2 linked regions of the Mytilus edulis genome follow. The protein of the gene in region 2 purifies or fractionates together with the protein of the main gene of each other region. This does not show direct contact. Links are inferred from orthologs where the notes say so. Each region holds a gene or a part of one and is shown on either strand. Other genes may lie near its edges.

Region 1 (8,304 bases), about 54 Mb from region 2:
TTCTGGAAAAGAAGAAGACATGTGTTATTGCATCATGTTGATGAGTAAATTTGTTTTTTTACATATTATGTAGAGCAAGGAATGTAAGAGTTTACCTGAGGTTGTAAAACAAAGAGTGAAATGAATGATAACTCTGGTGAAGTGATTATCAGTAATATGCATATTAAGGAAAATAATACACCAGACTTAAAGATTGTTATAGGTCAGTGAAGATTGGGCTAGACTTTCAGGTATTGTCTCTTGTCTGCAAAATACAACTCCCATGCAAACAAATCAAAAGTTTTTATTCAATAAATTCCTAATCTGTTACGCAATTCCTTACTTTATCCTTGTTTTAATGTTTAGGCCAGTATTCAAACAGTCAATCGAAAGTCATACTATATTTAGACTTTCATAACAACAATTCCCTCTTTTATCCTCTTTTCAATCAACAATATTTCATATTGAATACTAACAGTACTTGGGCCAGTATTCAAATAGTCGATAGAAAGTAATACTATATTATACGATATTTAGACTCTTATAAGGACAATAACATAAAGAGACAGTGCATAGCAAACATGTGCATAAGGACATCAAAGTGTGTGTTAAACTGAAATTTTGGAGTAAGTCTAGGGACGAAGGGGTTTATACATGATGATAGGAAACTGTCACTACCAAACTGGTTTACAACCACAAATCATGAAGTCTGGGGACGAAGAGGTTTATAAAAAGTACACAATGATGGGAACTGTTACTCCTAAACTGGTTTCCAACCACACATCATACCTCAATAGTTAGCTCATACTGTTGTCTTTCTTTAGTCATTTGTAGTTCCAGAAGATGAGAAGCATCATTTGTTTGTACGTAATTAAACGACTTTTGTAAAACCTGACAATGAAGTAGATTTTGGTAATATTTTGGCATCTACAATCATTTCAATATAACAGGGATAAGAGATACTAAAATGAGGGATGGAGAGAGAGGGAGAGGGAGAGAATGTTGGAAGGATGGCAAAGGTGTCAATGATTGGTAGAAATTTTTAGTGTTTTTTTTTTTTTTTTTGTGGCCTTATTTTACTTCTAGGTCATTTGTGGTTATAGTTAAGTTAAGGGATTTTCTAGGTCAGGTTTAGGGATAGGATTAGGGTAAAGTTTAGTTAGGTTAAGGGATTTTTTAGGTTAGGTTTAGGGATAGGATTCGGGTAAAGTTTAGTTAGGTTAAGGGATTTTCTAGGTCAGGTTTAGGGATAGGATTAGGGTAAAGTTTAGTTAGGTTAAGGGATTTTTTAGGTTAGGTTTAGGGATAGGATTCGGGTAAAGTTTAGTTAGGTTAAGGGATTTTCTAGGTCAGGTTTAGGGATAGGATTAGGGTAAAGTTTAGGATGAAGGATAGTTCACCTGGTAGTAAAGCTCTGCATGTATATGGGTAAGGACTCCTAAAGAAAAAAGAAGACCTAAGTTCTTCAGTACAAGGTTTTGCAGATAAAGAAGTTTCCTTAGATACTTTAATTTGTATTAGTGCTGAAATTCTGCAAATATAGAAAGTTTATATTTAGTTGAACACTTGAATGAATGGTGCACATGTGAAGTCCATGGTCATGATAGTGGCCAAATCCATCATAGATTAACTTACAACTGTCTAAAGGTAGAAAAGATTAACTTGATTAATCATGATTTAAGATTTAACAGAAAGGAAGAATTCAATCAAGACCCATGCATGTTGCTGTATTGGAATACATGAGAGAAGAAGGTCAAAGATTTGTATATCAGTTACACCTTTCGATAACAGTAGCCCTTATAATTGACCATTAACAATAATCTTAAACCAATAAACACTTATCTGATGTCTATAAACACTGAGGCTACTTGGTAATTGGTTTTGTATACTGACCACTGAGATAAGTAAACAAAGTTGGGTATATATCTTCCCTCAAGATCTAGAAAACATCTTGCACACAGTTAAGATCAAATTATTTACACCTAGATCGTGTGTATCATGATTTTTTTTAAGCAAAGTTAATATTATTAGCGAACACTTATAAAATTGCATTCTTAAATGACATAAAAGGTATGAGTCACCTTTCAATTGCCCTACAACATGTGGTTTAGGGATAGTAACAAAGGAATGCATTTAAATGGGATTAAATCTACATTGTATTAATACTCTAATTTTCTTTAGACAATATAGTATTTGTAAACCTTTGCAGCCAAAAAAACAAAACAAAACAAGAAAACATTATTAAAATACAATGAATTCACAGTGAAATTAAAATGCACACGGAGGTATATAATTAAAATAACTGCAGGTAAAACTGGCTCTTTTCAGAAAATATGAAGAAGAGAAAAGAAACACATGTGCACATTCAAATAGAAATAAGTCTGAAGATACATATGTACTTCATACCCTGGTACCCACCCTTTGCCTGAATGTATATGAGAACATGCACAGTTAAAGACAAGACAAACGAATATACATACAGCTGGTGGACTTACTGCCGGCTTTGGTGGCAAGTCCTTGACTGAGTCCGGAGTGGAGGCCTTAACCCCTACACCAGTCATGGACCCCACACTACTAGCAGGAGAAGGAGTCTCAGATTTATCCCCATTTGTCTCATGACTATGTGGTAGTGTTGCTGCTCTTTCTACTATTGGACTTGAACATACAACTTTCGGTTTATCAACATCATCCTTGCGAAAACTTGATTTTAGAAGTCTAGTCCTCTCCGCCACTGAAGGAGGTTTCTCTGGAAGGGGTGGAGCTGGTCCTCTACCTGTGCCTGATTGTGTCATAGGTGTACTGGCAGCCATGTTGTTTGTCAGAAGTTCATCAAAGTGGAAATTAATTACTTCAACACACTAGCAATACTCAATCCAGATGTTGAAAATAGATCACAAACAATAATCAAGGAAATCCTAAATTAAAACACACAAACTGTTGTGAAGTCTAATTAACGCCTAGCACATGTAAAAGTCATTAAAATTTAGACAGAGGCACCTTATACACTGCCAAAATATTCCTCCTCCTAAAAGTTTGAGGTGAAATTTAATCTCCTGGTGAGTGCAGATAAATCTACATCATACACACATACGACTGATTGATAACAAACAGACTTTCTCTACATACACAGGATGTGTATCCCTCAAACAGAAGTTATTTCCTCTGGCACAGTGTAAACATGAGACAAACATCAGATATCCATACAACTATTGATCAACATAAAAAATGGATCTTGACTTTTTAAATCTTTAAAAAATCTTCAACTTTATTTCATACGGTTAAATCCTGACAATGGATATTATTTGTGACAATATGTACGGTAAAGAAACAATTACTGGTATTTATAAAGAGCACAGATTTTAATCATTGTTGTGTTCCGACGGTCTGATTGTTGTCCAAATTGGGCGGAGATGATTGTACTAACTTTAGAAAGGATCAATAATTTTGATCCACACTTGGTGAGCTGATAATTAACATTTAAATACAACAATTAATTTGTCCTTGCACCATTGATCCAATGCTAATCTTGTCTGATCAGCCAAAAAAACATTTATACAAGACTTTTATGTATTTTGTGAGTTTATACCCACACTTGTGATAAAACTTAGGACCTAAATAAATATGGAATATTTTGTTGGATTTATATTTACAGACAAACAGCTGTTTCTTTGTGTTATATCCAGGTGTTTATAACCACCCGATCTGCTTTTAATATCGACAAACAAAAAATCAAATTTTTATTTATTCATATTCAAACAATTATTCATTGAAGTATTTAAGTCTTATATAATCTACTTTTTACCAAGTAAAAATACAAGATGGATACAGCTACAACTAAAAGACTCTTTCTACCAGAATAACACTGCATTAAGTTAAATTCAAGAAAGTCCTTATTTTAAACATAAATTTCTTTTTTATTGAATTTAATACAACTGTTGTGACTGATGTAAGGATGACAGATGTTAACATCACAGTAGTAGAATTCACATTTTCTCTACTTTCAACCATAATCACACACACAAATTAAACACACAACTACATTTCACAACTAATTGATTGGTTCTATTTTTACCCCCTTTTTCTAACTTTAAAGACTTAAAGATCTTTTTTCTATCGTTAATTTTTCAATAACATTTGAATATACATGTATAACAATCACAATAATAGTATTTAAACCCAGACCTTTACGGTTTACAAACTTCATACTTATATCCATTGAACCATGAAATTGAGGTCACTACACCCGTTTAACTGATCTGAGATAGTTTATATCTTGATTTGTTCTTTGCTGGTTACAACTTCATCACAGATTAATCTTGGATCAATATGTTTAAAATAACTACAACTCCTTCCCATTAAAACTACCAACAACTTGAAGTTTGACAGATGACAATAAGCACTACATACCGACTCAAATAGGACCAGTGGCGGATCCAGAAGAGGGTTGTAAACTTGCTTTTTTTGGACGATAAATGCATTTGAATGGGGACATTTAGTTGGAACCCACTTTTGAAAATGGCTGGATCCACCCCCAAGGACCTACAAATAATTTGAACCTTTCCTGATTTTATGTGAGAGTTCCAGATTTTATGTGACAGCAGTAAATTTTGAAAATTTGGGATTCAAATCATGTCCAATTCTAAGAAGATAGAATCTGTTCTATTTTAAAAGACAGAACAACACCTTGAATGATTACAAAAACTTTATATTCGTGATTGTAAGGAAGAAAATATGTGCTTCCTGTTTTTGAATTTTCATTCACTAATTGCTATTACATGTGTATTAGATACACTTGTAAGGATGTTAGGCCCATTGGGTGAACTTAATTTACAACATAACATTATAATTATAGCAAAATGATAGATTCAGTAGGTCTTTCAGCAATTTGACCTTATTTTATGGTAAAGCATGGTAAATGTAGAATATCCATTTACATTAAAGGAGTAAATACATATAAACTATCTTAGATATAAGAAGATGTGGTATGAGTGCCAATGAGGCGTCACATTTTGTAAAAGTAAACCAGTATAGGTCAAAGTATCGTCTCCAACATGGAGTCTTGACATTCTTGCATTTTGCAATCATTTACTCACTTTCATATATTTATTATAATTGAGCCTACTGTACATTTTTTTCAAAATTAAAAATCTGTCAAACTTTATTTATTGTCATCATATCCTGCAATGTCTCCAGACTTGACAGATTTGACAGTTATTTAGTGGGCTGATGGAATGCATGTCAACTAAGATATATTTCCTAATGACAATCTGAAGATGTGGTATTAGTTACATGTAATGAAAGGTATAAATGAGCTTAATTCCACTTCAGTAATTATACATGCGTCTCATTCTGTCAGCATAATTTTTTTTATCCGCTTACAGAAATACTTAACATAATTGTTAGTATATTATATTGTAAACTACAGGTAGGTCTACCGGTATTTACATTTAAATTACTTATTGTTAAAGGTGTGCTTTCACTCAGCGGTGTTTATTTTCAATTTGGAATTATAGGTAATGAAGACACCTTTTAAACAAAATCTCCATTAGATGCTTCACCTCACCATTGAAGAAAAGGGGACAAAGTACGGGTCAAGTTATGTCTGTTGTCCTTCTAATAATAGGTTCAGATTATTCAGTAAATAGTATAAAATCTCTGTAAATTATAATTTCAGGCATGAATGAAATATAAATATGTGGAAAATATGATTGTAACAGCAACCAATCAACCAAAAAATTACATTTCTTTGATGCAGACTTAATATCATAACTGTCATTTACATCTATGCCTTCCTGATTTATTTTTTATAAACTTATCAAAAGGAATGAAGTAGCTTCAAAGTGTTGAATATTGCTTTTTTATAAGTCATACTTCCTGAAGTTATAAAAACTGTCTTTTCTAAAGTTTATGATAACATCCTTATTTCCATCATGTTTATAGTGCACACTTAGAACTACGCTTTCTGAGAGGATATCCAGGAGCAAAATAAATAGTTCATATCGTGTAAATTAAAAAATATTGGAAATTTCACTTTTTGTTTAGTCCTTTTTGAAAAATTCTGGGTCTACCTTGTTACACCTACAATGTACATGTACATGTAGAAAAAGCTTCACAGATGTCTACTCCTTCAGTTATCATTATGACCGACGCAGGGGTTGTTTTTTTAATTCTGGGTCTACCTTGTTACACCTTCAATGTACATGTAGAAAAAGCTTCACAGATGTCTACTCTTTCAGTTATCATTATGACTGATGCAGGGGTTGTTCTTACTATTTTAATTGCCATCATGCATCGATTAACAACTTTAATTCTGTGCACACGATTCTGGAATACTTGAAGATAAGTAGTCAAAACTCTAGATAAGAAGTAAACATCCACAGAACAAGCAATATGCTGTAACAGATGTCTATACAGATTTTGATTATGAAACATGAGGCTTCTAAAACAGACAGATTTTACTGACAAGCTTAGACAAAGATAGATCTTAAACAGCTGCCTTTTTCAGGGTGGAGCTCAAATTTATTAAACTTTTACTTCTGAATATACCTCACTATGTGTGTAGAATTCATATCTAGATTTTTGAAGAATGTGCAAGCCTTCAGTGTTTTAACAAAGTGAACAAACGCCCAAGAAAACCTTCCAAAAATAGCCGAACATACATGTAAATAGGCCTAGGTATCATTACATACCATAACTATTATTTTTCCAGTGAAACTCACAATTATGTTCTTTTAAAAGAATGAGACCAACAGCCTTAAAACTGGCAGAAAACAAGTCTACCAAGGCCCTTAAATGTAATGCACAGTTAACAAGCTGTCCCACATTTCTGACCCAAGGTGCTTTAATCACAAGTATCTCAATTTCTTTGTTCCCAAATTTACCCTGGTGCTAACCAAAAAATCATGGGGGAAATTCTGACTGGTCCAATCAGTAATTAACAACTCTGCTAATATCAAGCTATAGATTAAATTTTGTGAAAAATTCAGGGTTTTTTTGCATACATTTTTGTACTACAACAATACATGTATTCTCATAATGACAAGTTTCTGGTGATCTGTGAGAATGCCTTCACATCTTTGTGCTCCTTTATGAAAAATGCCTGCAGTGCAGGGTCTGTGAAAGACACCAAAAATGGCAATAAAGATCTCTATTACTCTAAATAATCTGTCTTATAAATCCTATAATACATGTACTTTAAGTTTGACCATAGGTCTATAACTGGTTCCTAGTAAAGGACTTTAAATATGACATCAAAATCATATATTTGTTAATTAACAGCTAATTACACAATCATAGTTTTTAAGTACTATTGCACACTCTGATCATAACCAAAGAAAAATAATAACCGAAGGAAGCACGAAACAAAGCCAATGAACAAAAACAAAGCATTAATGCAAAACAAGTGATCACCTCATAACCGTAATTAATTGCTAACTATTAACATAAAATTCTGACATTTCTGAAAAGATTTGGCAAAAAAATATCTGGCAACAGAATATCTGATAGTTTTATCAGAAACATTGAACGCTGCATCAGTTTAATAGATGTAACATGATTTACTGTGAAAATGACTAATAAGAAAAATATGAAATTGATACAATTTTATCTAATTAACATTGTTATATGTAATTATCAATGTATACTAACCTCTGGTTCGGAAATCTGCAGATTTTCTATAACCTGCGACATTTCTATTACTCCTAAACACTATAATCTCTTACACACAAAGCAGCAGTATATAACAGCGTTTTTATCTCGAAGGAAATCTACACCCTCAAATTTTAATTTACATCAAACAGTCTAAAAACAGTAAGCACATTCATCAGTCAGGAAGCATTTATTTCGGCAATAATTCACATCCAGCTATTTACTTCCAGTGTGTATTCGAAGGGAATCTCGACTCCTTGTAGAGTCCAGGTGATAAAAAATTACTACCTATTTACAATAGTGACATAAAACATAAATAAAATGCTATCTATCTGGTGTCGCAGAACAATAGGACGTCACCTAACCAGACATGTATAGTGTTATTTATTTCAATGAACACTTATTTTATTGCTACCCATGCTAGTCAATTATATAACTAAAATAACCTATTAGATTCTTTACTGATCAAAGAGCTGTCTAAAAAGTTTAAATATTTATTTAAAAATTTAAAGTCCATAATCACTGAGATGTATATAACCATTAAAATTTAAATCTACATGGAAAATGATGGGTTTCATTATCTAATGCACCAAAAAACTCACTAAAAACTAACTTTCTATGTTTCTTTGTATCTTTTAAAATGTGCAAACTAATTTATGTTCTGTGACTGAACTTTTT
Region 2 (8,454 bases):
GCTCGTAGCTTTTAAACTTATCAAATATGAAATGCAATGCACAGGAGGAAATGAGAACAGCCGAACATTTTTACGGTAATTTCATACGCTTCGACTTATAAAAGTATATTTGTCCTATTAGAATCGAAATAATTCCTCATTGTCATGCTCTAGGCTATTTTTAACATGAGTAGGCATTATATTTGACCACATTTTACACCCTGATAACGCTCAGTGTAAAATATCGACAAATATAATGCCTACCCATGTTAAAATGAGCATAGAGCACGACATGAAGGAATTATTTATTAAACATACATGTACATCAAGAGGTCAACATAGTCTTCAAATACATATATGGTGTCAATACAATATATCAAGCTCTTAATTATAAAAAAAGAAAAAAAGTTCTGACTCAATAAAACAGAAACTATCAAAGAAATGACATCAATGTCAAATTCTATAAATGACCTGCTTTCATTTGACTGGAATATGTGGAAAGACAAAACTTTATTTTTTGTTATTCAAATACATGTATATTAAAAGTGCAGGTATGAAAACCATCTAAGAATTGCATAAATGCTGTATTAATTGTATATGGTTCTCTGAAAGCACTGCCACTAGACATAAAATCATTACTTACGGAATTGTGGGATGACTAAGATCATCCTCCCAGTTGTTTATTGTGGCGGCTAAGTTAGCTAGTCGCCCTCTCCTTTGTCCTTCTACTTTAGGAGGTTCTACTTCCTCCTCTAAGGAATTCTGTAAAGACTTCCTAGGAACTGGTTTAGGATGTGAATTGTCAGAATCTGTTCCATCTAAATTCAAAATTATGCCAACATTTTAATTACAACTTTCATTTTCTTAATTTAACAGATGGACTCTTTTTAGCTTTTATCTTGGGTGGGGAGGAATCATTTATAGATTTTTTTTTGGCTTGGACCAATATTTGTTTTACTATTTAATTACATTTAAAGTCGAACATATTTTTCTGTAAGATTTTTTGGGTGAAAATCGTTAGCTGATCTTTATTGTTGCCTGTGTTAGAGGCAACGATTCTTCAAACAATATGGAATGGAAGCTAAATTTCAAAAGGGATTATGACATGGTGTGCCCACAAACATGCATTACCCTGGCTCCTCCACATTTAGGCCTGATCAAATCAGAAATCTGTACAGTACTCCTGTGGTTATTACTTGCAGTCTGTCATAACTGTTCATTTAATGTACATAATGTAATATTTGCACAAATCAGGTTGATGTTTTTTTCTTATCTTTTGAGCTACTTTTATGATGTTAATTTTTACAAAGAAATGCAAATTGTGTACAAGATTATTTCATACCTCCTGAAGACCAATCGGTTCTCTGTTGTGTCAAATTATGCATTCTAGATCTCACACTACTAATAGCTGGTGTGTCTGGCTTTATATTGATTTCATCTTCTCTCACACACTGTCTCTTGCCAGGGGATGCTGAAAAAAATATGGTTACTGTGAAATAGTGGTATTAAAAATTTGTAACACAACATTAACCCAATTATAAATTCTTTTGCATATTTAAAAGTACAAAGTTTCATACAATTTAAATATTCTATTTATCTACCTTCTTGTTTTCCTTTGTACATTACAAAGTGATTCTGCAATTCCCTACAAATCTCCATGACAGTTAAACAGAGTGAACTGAAATGACCACTACAATGACATATACATGTAGACACAGTGATTCAGCATGTCACTTTAAAACACTGTGACAGTAAAGTCAAAATTAATTTGGCCAGATACCATGAAATATATTCATATCTTTAACCCAGTTTTCTAGATATGCATATGTCAAGATATATATGTACATCTATTAAAAACTGCAAATTGGTTTCCCTTAAAACTATACATGTTAACTTATAGTTCTGTTTCTGCTTGATATGTCTCCTTACTTCCCAGACAAATTTTATGTACATTTTTGGTTACGCCCAAAACATTTGAAATTTCCCAATATTTCAAACGCAAATTATTGAAGAAAAGAAAACATTTTACCTACTATGTACCAACCTATCCTATTCATCTGCAGCCAGTAGAAAGAAAACAAGCATGTAGGTTTTTTGTGTATATTTGCATGACATACTTGTACATGAGTTAAAATATTTAACTACCAATACTACTTGTATCATATAACAATTTAAATACCTTCTTTCATGAGAGTTTTAGTATCAGATTGTGGTAAATTGTCTGTGGTATTATCCTGCAGGAATCTTTTTCTAGGTGTTACTTCAGGGGTTTTCCCCATTTTCTGATTCAACATCTCTCTTCTCTGTCTCGTCCTCTCTAGAAGTTGCTGAAAGAAGAAATAAGTTTACCTTAATTAATAGTTTCAAGCTTTAACATTATTTTCTGTTGTGAAGCATCAAAATTAAACAGACATATTCATTTATTGTTAAAACATATTACAAGATACCAATTCTAGATGTTATTCATTTGGAGAGAAAGCACCAATTAAGAGGGTAGTAATGGCCTTTCTCGTCAAGCATCAAACCTTCATTTTTGGCTATCATTTATAGAGACAAATCCTGATTCTTCAAAGGTCTCAAAAAAATTATGTACATGTAGATGAAAGTGATTCTACATGGATTGGGCACACAAAAAAGGTGCCAGACCTCCAAATCCTGAAAGCAAAGTTAAGTGAGTCTGATAGGAGTCTATAAAAAAATATAGTGTAGTATCCGGAGGGTTAGTTTTAGGTCATCAGACAGACCATCTAGAGATGTCCGAAGGACTACCCAGAAACCATTCTCTTCCGGTTGAAACTATTAATGGCTATACAGCAGACGAATTCACTAGAACAGCAATCGGCCGTTCCTGACTGCAGGAACGACCATCCAAGGTATATATCGGTCTTGAGTTATACTCGGGATCACAACAATAGCATATAGCATGATGCAGGATTGACAGATTGTTTGAAAGCATTGACACAGAAAACATGTCAAGCACGAAACTTGAAATTACAAGCGTAATCATTACAATGATATAAGCTGGATAAGACAGACCCCCTGTAAATCTACTAAACTTGTCTAGACTAAAGAGTGAGTGATGACTAATGACGAGTAATTTGTCTACTATTAAATGAACACCCCTCCAGTCCATATAACTATAAGGTTATTCAAATTTAAGATTAAATTCTGGCATTCGTTATTAGGTGGAATTTGAAATAAGTTTGACTTATCATGTTTACAGACAAATCATACTCATCAGTGGCAGATCCAGCGGGAGGGGAGGGTTTCCAGGTGGACACCCCCCTTTTTTTGGATGATCAATGGATTTTAATAATAATAGGGACATATGATTGAACCCCCACCCTCTCATCCTTCCTCCTGGGTTGGAACCCCACTTTTAAAAATAGCTAGATCCAACCATGCACATGTTATTTATTTTGAATTTTCAACAATGCAAATATGATCAAATATTCAAAACAACGCCTCGTCTGGTCAATATTTTTCATTTGGTGAGTTGTGTGATGTTCACAACTAAGACAATACAAATTTCATTACTTTTCAGTTCTGTAGTTTTTACTTACCTCTGTATACGGGTCCATTATAAATACAAATTCTGTTTATGTTCAAATATTTTCGGTAACATTAGCCATTCCAATTCAAATTTGGCGGTACAAAACAACGTGAAATCTCGAACATCTGCGAGAAAATTCAAATATTTTGATCTCGATCTACAATGCGTTTTCGTAAGTGATCTTTGAAATTGGTGTCACGTGGTGGTCATGTGACTTTGCAGAAGGTGTTAAAAAAATCCAAAGAAATGTCACTTGGGAAAGCAGTTGCCGTTGTCCTTGTTTTTGTTATATGCTTATATGGTTCAGAAGCATCTAGATCGAGAAACTTTCTAAATTTCGGCGCGAATGGTGGTACCAACTGTGCCAGTAAGTTTCAATTGATAATTAGATACTCATTTATGATATAGTATTGCACAGTGGGTCAGATTATTTTACTACAGCAGTTACATATCTGTCTAGACAGCTATTATCTGATAGAGGACAAAGTCTGTTTTAGTACTTTTGTAAACTGATAGAATTAACTTATTTGTTAACTCTTCAATATACTTTATTTTATTCTATTTTACATGGTATACTGATGACAAAACAAATATTTGTTATACTAGTTGTTTGCACACATAATAGTAGTCCTAATAATAGTCAGGCATTACCTGTGAATGGGGACAAAGTCTGTATGATTGTTTTTTAATTCACAAATGTTTTAAAAACAGAAAGGGAAATATCGTAATTTAGGTTTTGTTGTTAGGGATTTTAGTTGTGACGTTATTTAAGTTATGAAGTCATATTCAATGTAAACAAAGAAACGCTGTCATCAAGTAACGTTTTTTTTATAACAAACAAATTAAAAAAAAAAAATAAGTATTGATTTCCTTTTTTAGACTGATAAATATATATTTTATTCAAAGTCTCATGCAAACAAGACCGGAATCGGAAGTAGATTTCTGCGCAGATGCAGGGATTTGAAAAAAACTGAAAAAAAAGTTAACAATTTCGAGTTCATAAGTAGAATGAAAAATTTGGGAAATTTTCCCGATTTTTTTTTTTTTTTTTTTAATTATTTTTCAACCGTTATAGGGGACTTCATCCCCATAATAATGATGCTGTCTGCTAAAAGGTATTTTTCGATTTTTATTTTTTATCCCTTATTGTCACAGGAAGGAGCCAAGGCAAAAATTTAGAATAAGCATTTTAAGATGAAGAAAGACCCTACATATAAAAAGGTCTAATTAGGTCTTAGACTCTTATTACTGAAACAAAAAAATCAAAGGAAAGAAGGTATCGTCAAACACTAACTTTTAAGATTTGACTATTTTGGAACAATTGTTAGAAATGGTTGTCTTGATTATTGTTCACATGTTTGCAATCTTATTTAATTATTTCACATATATATAAAAGTATATGTCAGAAATAAGGTATTTGAATTTATCTTAGTGTCAGACAGTCATTGACATAAACTTAAAGTGATTTTTTTTCTTTTTTTCTGAACATCTCTGTAGACTTGTACAAATACAGAAGATGGATTGGTTTATTATTTCTTGCTTAACATCAAGTAGTAAATCAAAAGATCGATGTGTTTTGAATTTGTCTTTCTAGATTGGGGACGTTAGATGTACAATGAAAATGTAAAGCTAAATGTGTTTAAAAATGAAAATGTTCTTTTTTCAGCATGTACTGTTATTTTTACATTTGGAGAACAACTAGCAACTATACACAATGAAACAGTAACAAAATCTTTAGAAAGGTTCTGCAATTATTTACCACCTGCAGTTGCAATACCATGTAAAGTATTTGTAGACTACATTGCATATGAGATTATACGTGTGTAAGTATTAATATGAGGCAGGCATTACCTGTAAATGGGGACGAAGTCTGTATGAATTATTTTTTTGTAACTTACATTTATATATTTGTTAAGAAAAAGAAACGGAAATACCGTAACGTTTCCGATTTTGGTTCTTTTGTTAGGGATTTTAGTTGTGACGTTATTTAAGTCATGACGTCATATGCAATGTAAACAAAGAAACGCTATCATCAGGTAACATTTTTTCATATCAAGGAATTATTAAAAATGAAATTGGTATTGCGCATTCCTTCCTATTTTATACTAGACTGATAAATATATATTTTACTCAAAGTTTCATACAAACGAGACCGGAAAAAGGAAGTACATTGTACATTTCTGCGCAGGTCCGGGATTTCAAAACATGACATAAAAAAAATTGAACGATTTTGAGTTCATTAGTACAATGAAAAATTCGGGAAATTTTCCTAATTTTTTTTTTTATTGAATTTTCTACTGTTATTGGGGACTTCGTCCCCATAATATTCTGTGCTTTGTGGTCAAATAGATATAAAAAAGAAGATGTGGTATGATTGCCGATGAGACAACTATCCACAAAAGACCAAAATGACACAGACATTAACAACTATAGGTCACTGTACGGCCTTCAACAATGAGCAAAGCCCATACCGCATAGTCAGCTATTATAGGCCCCGATAAGACAATGTAAAACAATTCAAACGAGAAAACTAACGGCCTTATTTATGTAAACAAATGAACGAAAAACAAATATGTAACACATAAACAAACTACAACCACTGAATTACAGGCTCCTGATGTTTGTTATTGCCATGTAACTAGTGACAGGATTTACAGAGAGGACATTATTCATGAGAAAATATCATCAAAGAAACCAGGCTTATAAACTAGTATGCCAGATATGCATCTGGTCTATATAATCTCTAATAGTGGCACTTGAACCAAATATTTAGAAGGTTAACCTAATTACAAAGTTGAAGGCCATTATAAACCTTTTTTTTTTTTTTTTTTTTTTTTTTTTTTAAAGTTTGTCAAATCTAACTAAGCTAGGTCATTTACACCTTATAGGTAGTAGGAAAACCTTTGTATTTCAATTTTGAGTTTTCAAATTGTTTGACATGTAATTTAGTCAGGTTGCACAAAGAGTGTATGTTTTGTAGACTCATTGTTTATTCTTTGAAGATTTTTTTGTTCCATAGTACATGTATTCAGTGACGGATCCAGAACTTTTCATAAGGGAGGGCCTGCTCCAGTCATGCTTCAGTAATTCCCTATATAACCAACCAAATTTTTCCCACAATGGGGGGGGGGGGGGCATCAGGGCCCCCTGGATCCGCCTATGGTATTGGTACTTATCCCTGTCCCTTATACTAATTTTGTAAAACAAAATTATTTGGCATGTAGGTAATTGATAAACTCTAAATTTATTGTTATCTTATTTTTAGATTACCAGCAAAATACAATCCAGATGAAGCCTGTCAAGGACTTGGTTTTTGCTTCACTGATACAGGAGAAGAACAGTGCCACCTGTTTCCAAAACCAAAGGTATGTTATTTCAATAATGCCCTTCATAGACATGATGTTTTATGTTTATTAATCATTGTCTATCTGTATATTCACATAATGTGTAAAAGATTAAGAATGCTTTGATCTAATTTCAAGAAACTATATGAAGTATTTCAATCAGTGAAAAAAAACTCTGTTTACGATTTAAAAAATTTTAAGCAAGAAATGATGACGTATTTAAGAAAGTGTTTCAAATGATCAAATTATGTTAAAAAAATAATTTAGAAAGTCTTGTTTATTATGACCTAAAATACTTACCTCACATGCAATAATCCACCTTTATGACTAATTGCATGCATTTACTATTGCCATTTTTTTTTTATAAATGAATGAAAATGCAAGATTAATTATTGTGATTCATGAAAAGTTGCCTTCAGTGACTGTCATACAAGTGAGAGGTTTAGCTAGCTATAAAACCAGGTTCAATCCACCATTTTCTACATTAGAAAATGCCTGTACCAAGTCAGGAATATGACAGTTGTTATCCATTCGTTTGATGTGTTTGGACTTTGATTTTGGACTTTCCTTTTTGAATATTCCTCGGAGTTCAGTATTTTTGTGTTTTTACTTTTTTCAGAGTACAGACATATGCATATGATATCATAATGCCACTTCTTACTATTGCATAAGGCATCTAGTCGCATTATTCTCATTAGTATAAACATCCCAATAATTTCTGAATTTATAGTATATAGATTGTTTTCCCATATAGGTTAGCCGAGTATTCAATGCAAGAAGGAAGAGGGCAGCTCCTAACATATGTGAACTGCCTGGAATTAAAGAGATTTGTAAACTCATAGACAAGTAAGAAGTTATCAATTTACCTGGTCAATATGGCCAATCACAAAAATTACATGGAACACATTTTTGCATCTGAAGAGCAACACAGTGGGTGCCACAATTTAAGCAGGAACTAAATACTTTATGTCTGTAATGCAATATGATGTTACTTTTATTAATCAATCAGCAATTTATCCCCGGTTTGAATCTCAATTATTATTATATGTTTCAAACCTGTAATTTGTTTTATATTTCAACTATAATTGTTTTAGTGTGATATCAATTGTCCAGTACAATGCGGTAGAAACCAACATAAAAATAAACTGCTCTCATTTAAAACCCATGGCCTTCAACCTAATGGAAAGTACAAAAAAGGTTGCAGATACAAAGTCTGCAGTAAAAAAACGCAAGTCATTAAAATGAAGCAGCACATTTTAATAGTGGTCAAAAGAACAAGAAAATAACAGAACACTAAAGAAATACAACACAAAAAATAAAAAATAGAGTGATAGAAAGCCAATTGATTAAAATTGAAGTCAATTCAGGTGCTTTAGAAGAGTTAGCAGTTCCTAACTTTCTGGTGTGTTGCCTGACAGAAAAGCTTATGAGGCATTTAGCATATCCTCTTATCTTGCATTGATGTCCTTCAGGTCACACTTTATAAATCTGCAACTTCCTGAAAACAGTAAAAGAATTCAAACAATCTTGCACAGATCATTGTTCTGGACACATATTGTGCACTTACTATTTTAATTT

Evidence for each region. Proteins that work in one complex are often made in the same cells at the same time.
Region 1: the proteins of anillin-like (region 2) and septin-7-like purify together in Drosophila melanogaster (affinity purification with western blotting; 3 studies listed by BioGRID, with this or other methods). This does not show direct contact. The link is inferred for Mytilus edulis from reciprocal best matches to the Drosophila melanogaster genes scra and pnut.

What each region holds. Positions count from the first base shown.
Region 1 is NC_092348.1:93,784,162-93,792,465, forward strand, and holds the start of septin-7-like, read right to left. Parts: upstream 3,593-8,304; 5' UTR 2,790-3,592; coding exon 2,460-2,789; intron 1-2,459. UniProt on the Drosophila melanogaster protein: Involved in cytokinesis and possibly cellularization. Also acts as an enhancer of the sina gene, thus having a role in photoreceptor development. May be involved in p53-dependent apoptosis.
Region 2 is NC_092348.1:40,060,697-40,069,150, forward strand, and holds the start of anillin-like, read right to left. Parts: upstream 3,686-8,454; 5' UTR 3,561-3,685; coding exon 3,543-3,560; intron 2,307-3,542; coding exon 2,159-2,306; intron 1,451-2,158; coding exon 1,322-1,450; intron 798-1,321; coding exon 623-797; intron 1-622. Other genes in the region: acyloxyacyl hydrolase-like, read left to right, coding at 3,779-3,899, 5,199-5,355, 6,798-6,897, 7,631-7,722. UniProt on the Drosophila melanogaster protein: Required for cytokinesis. Essential for the structural integrity of the cleavage furrow and for completion of cleavage furrow ingression and proper formation of the midbody.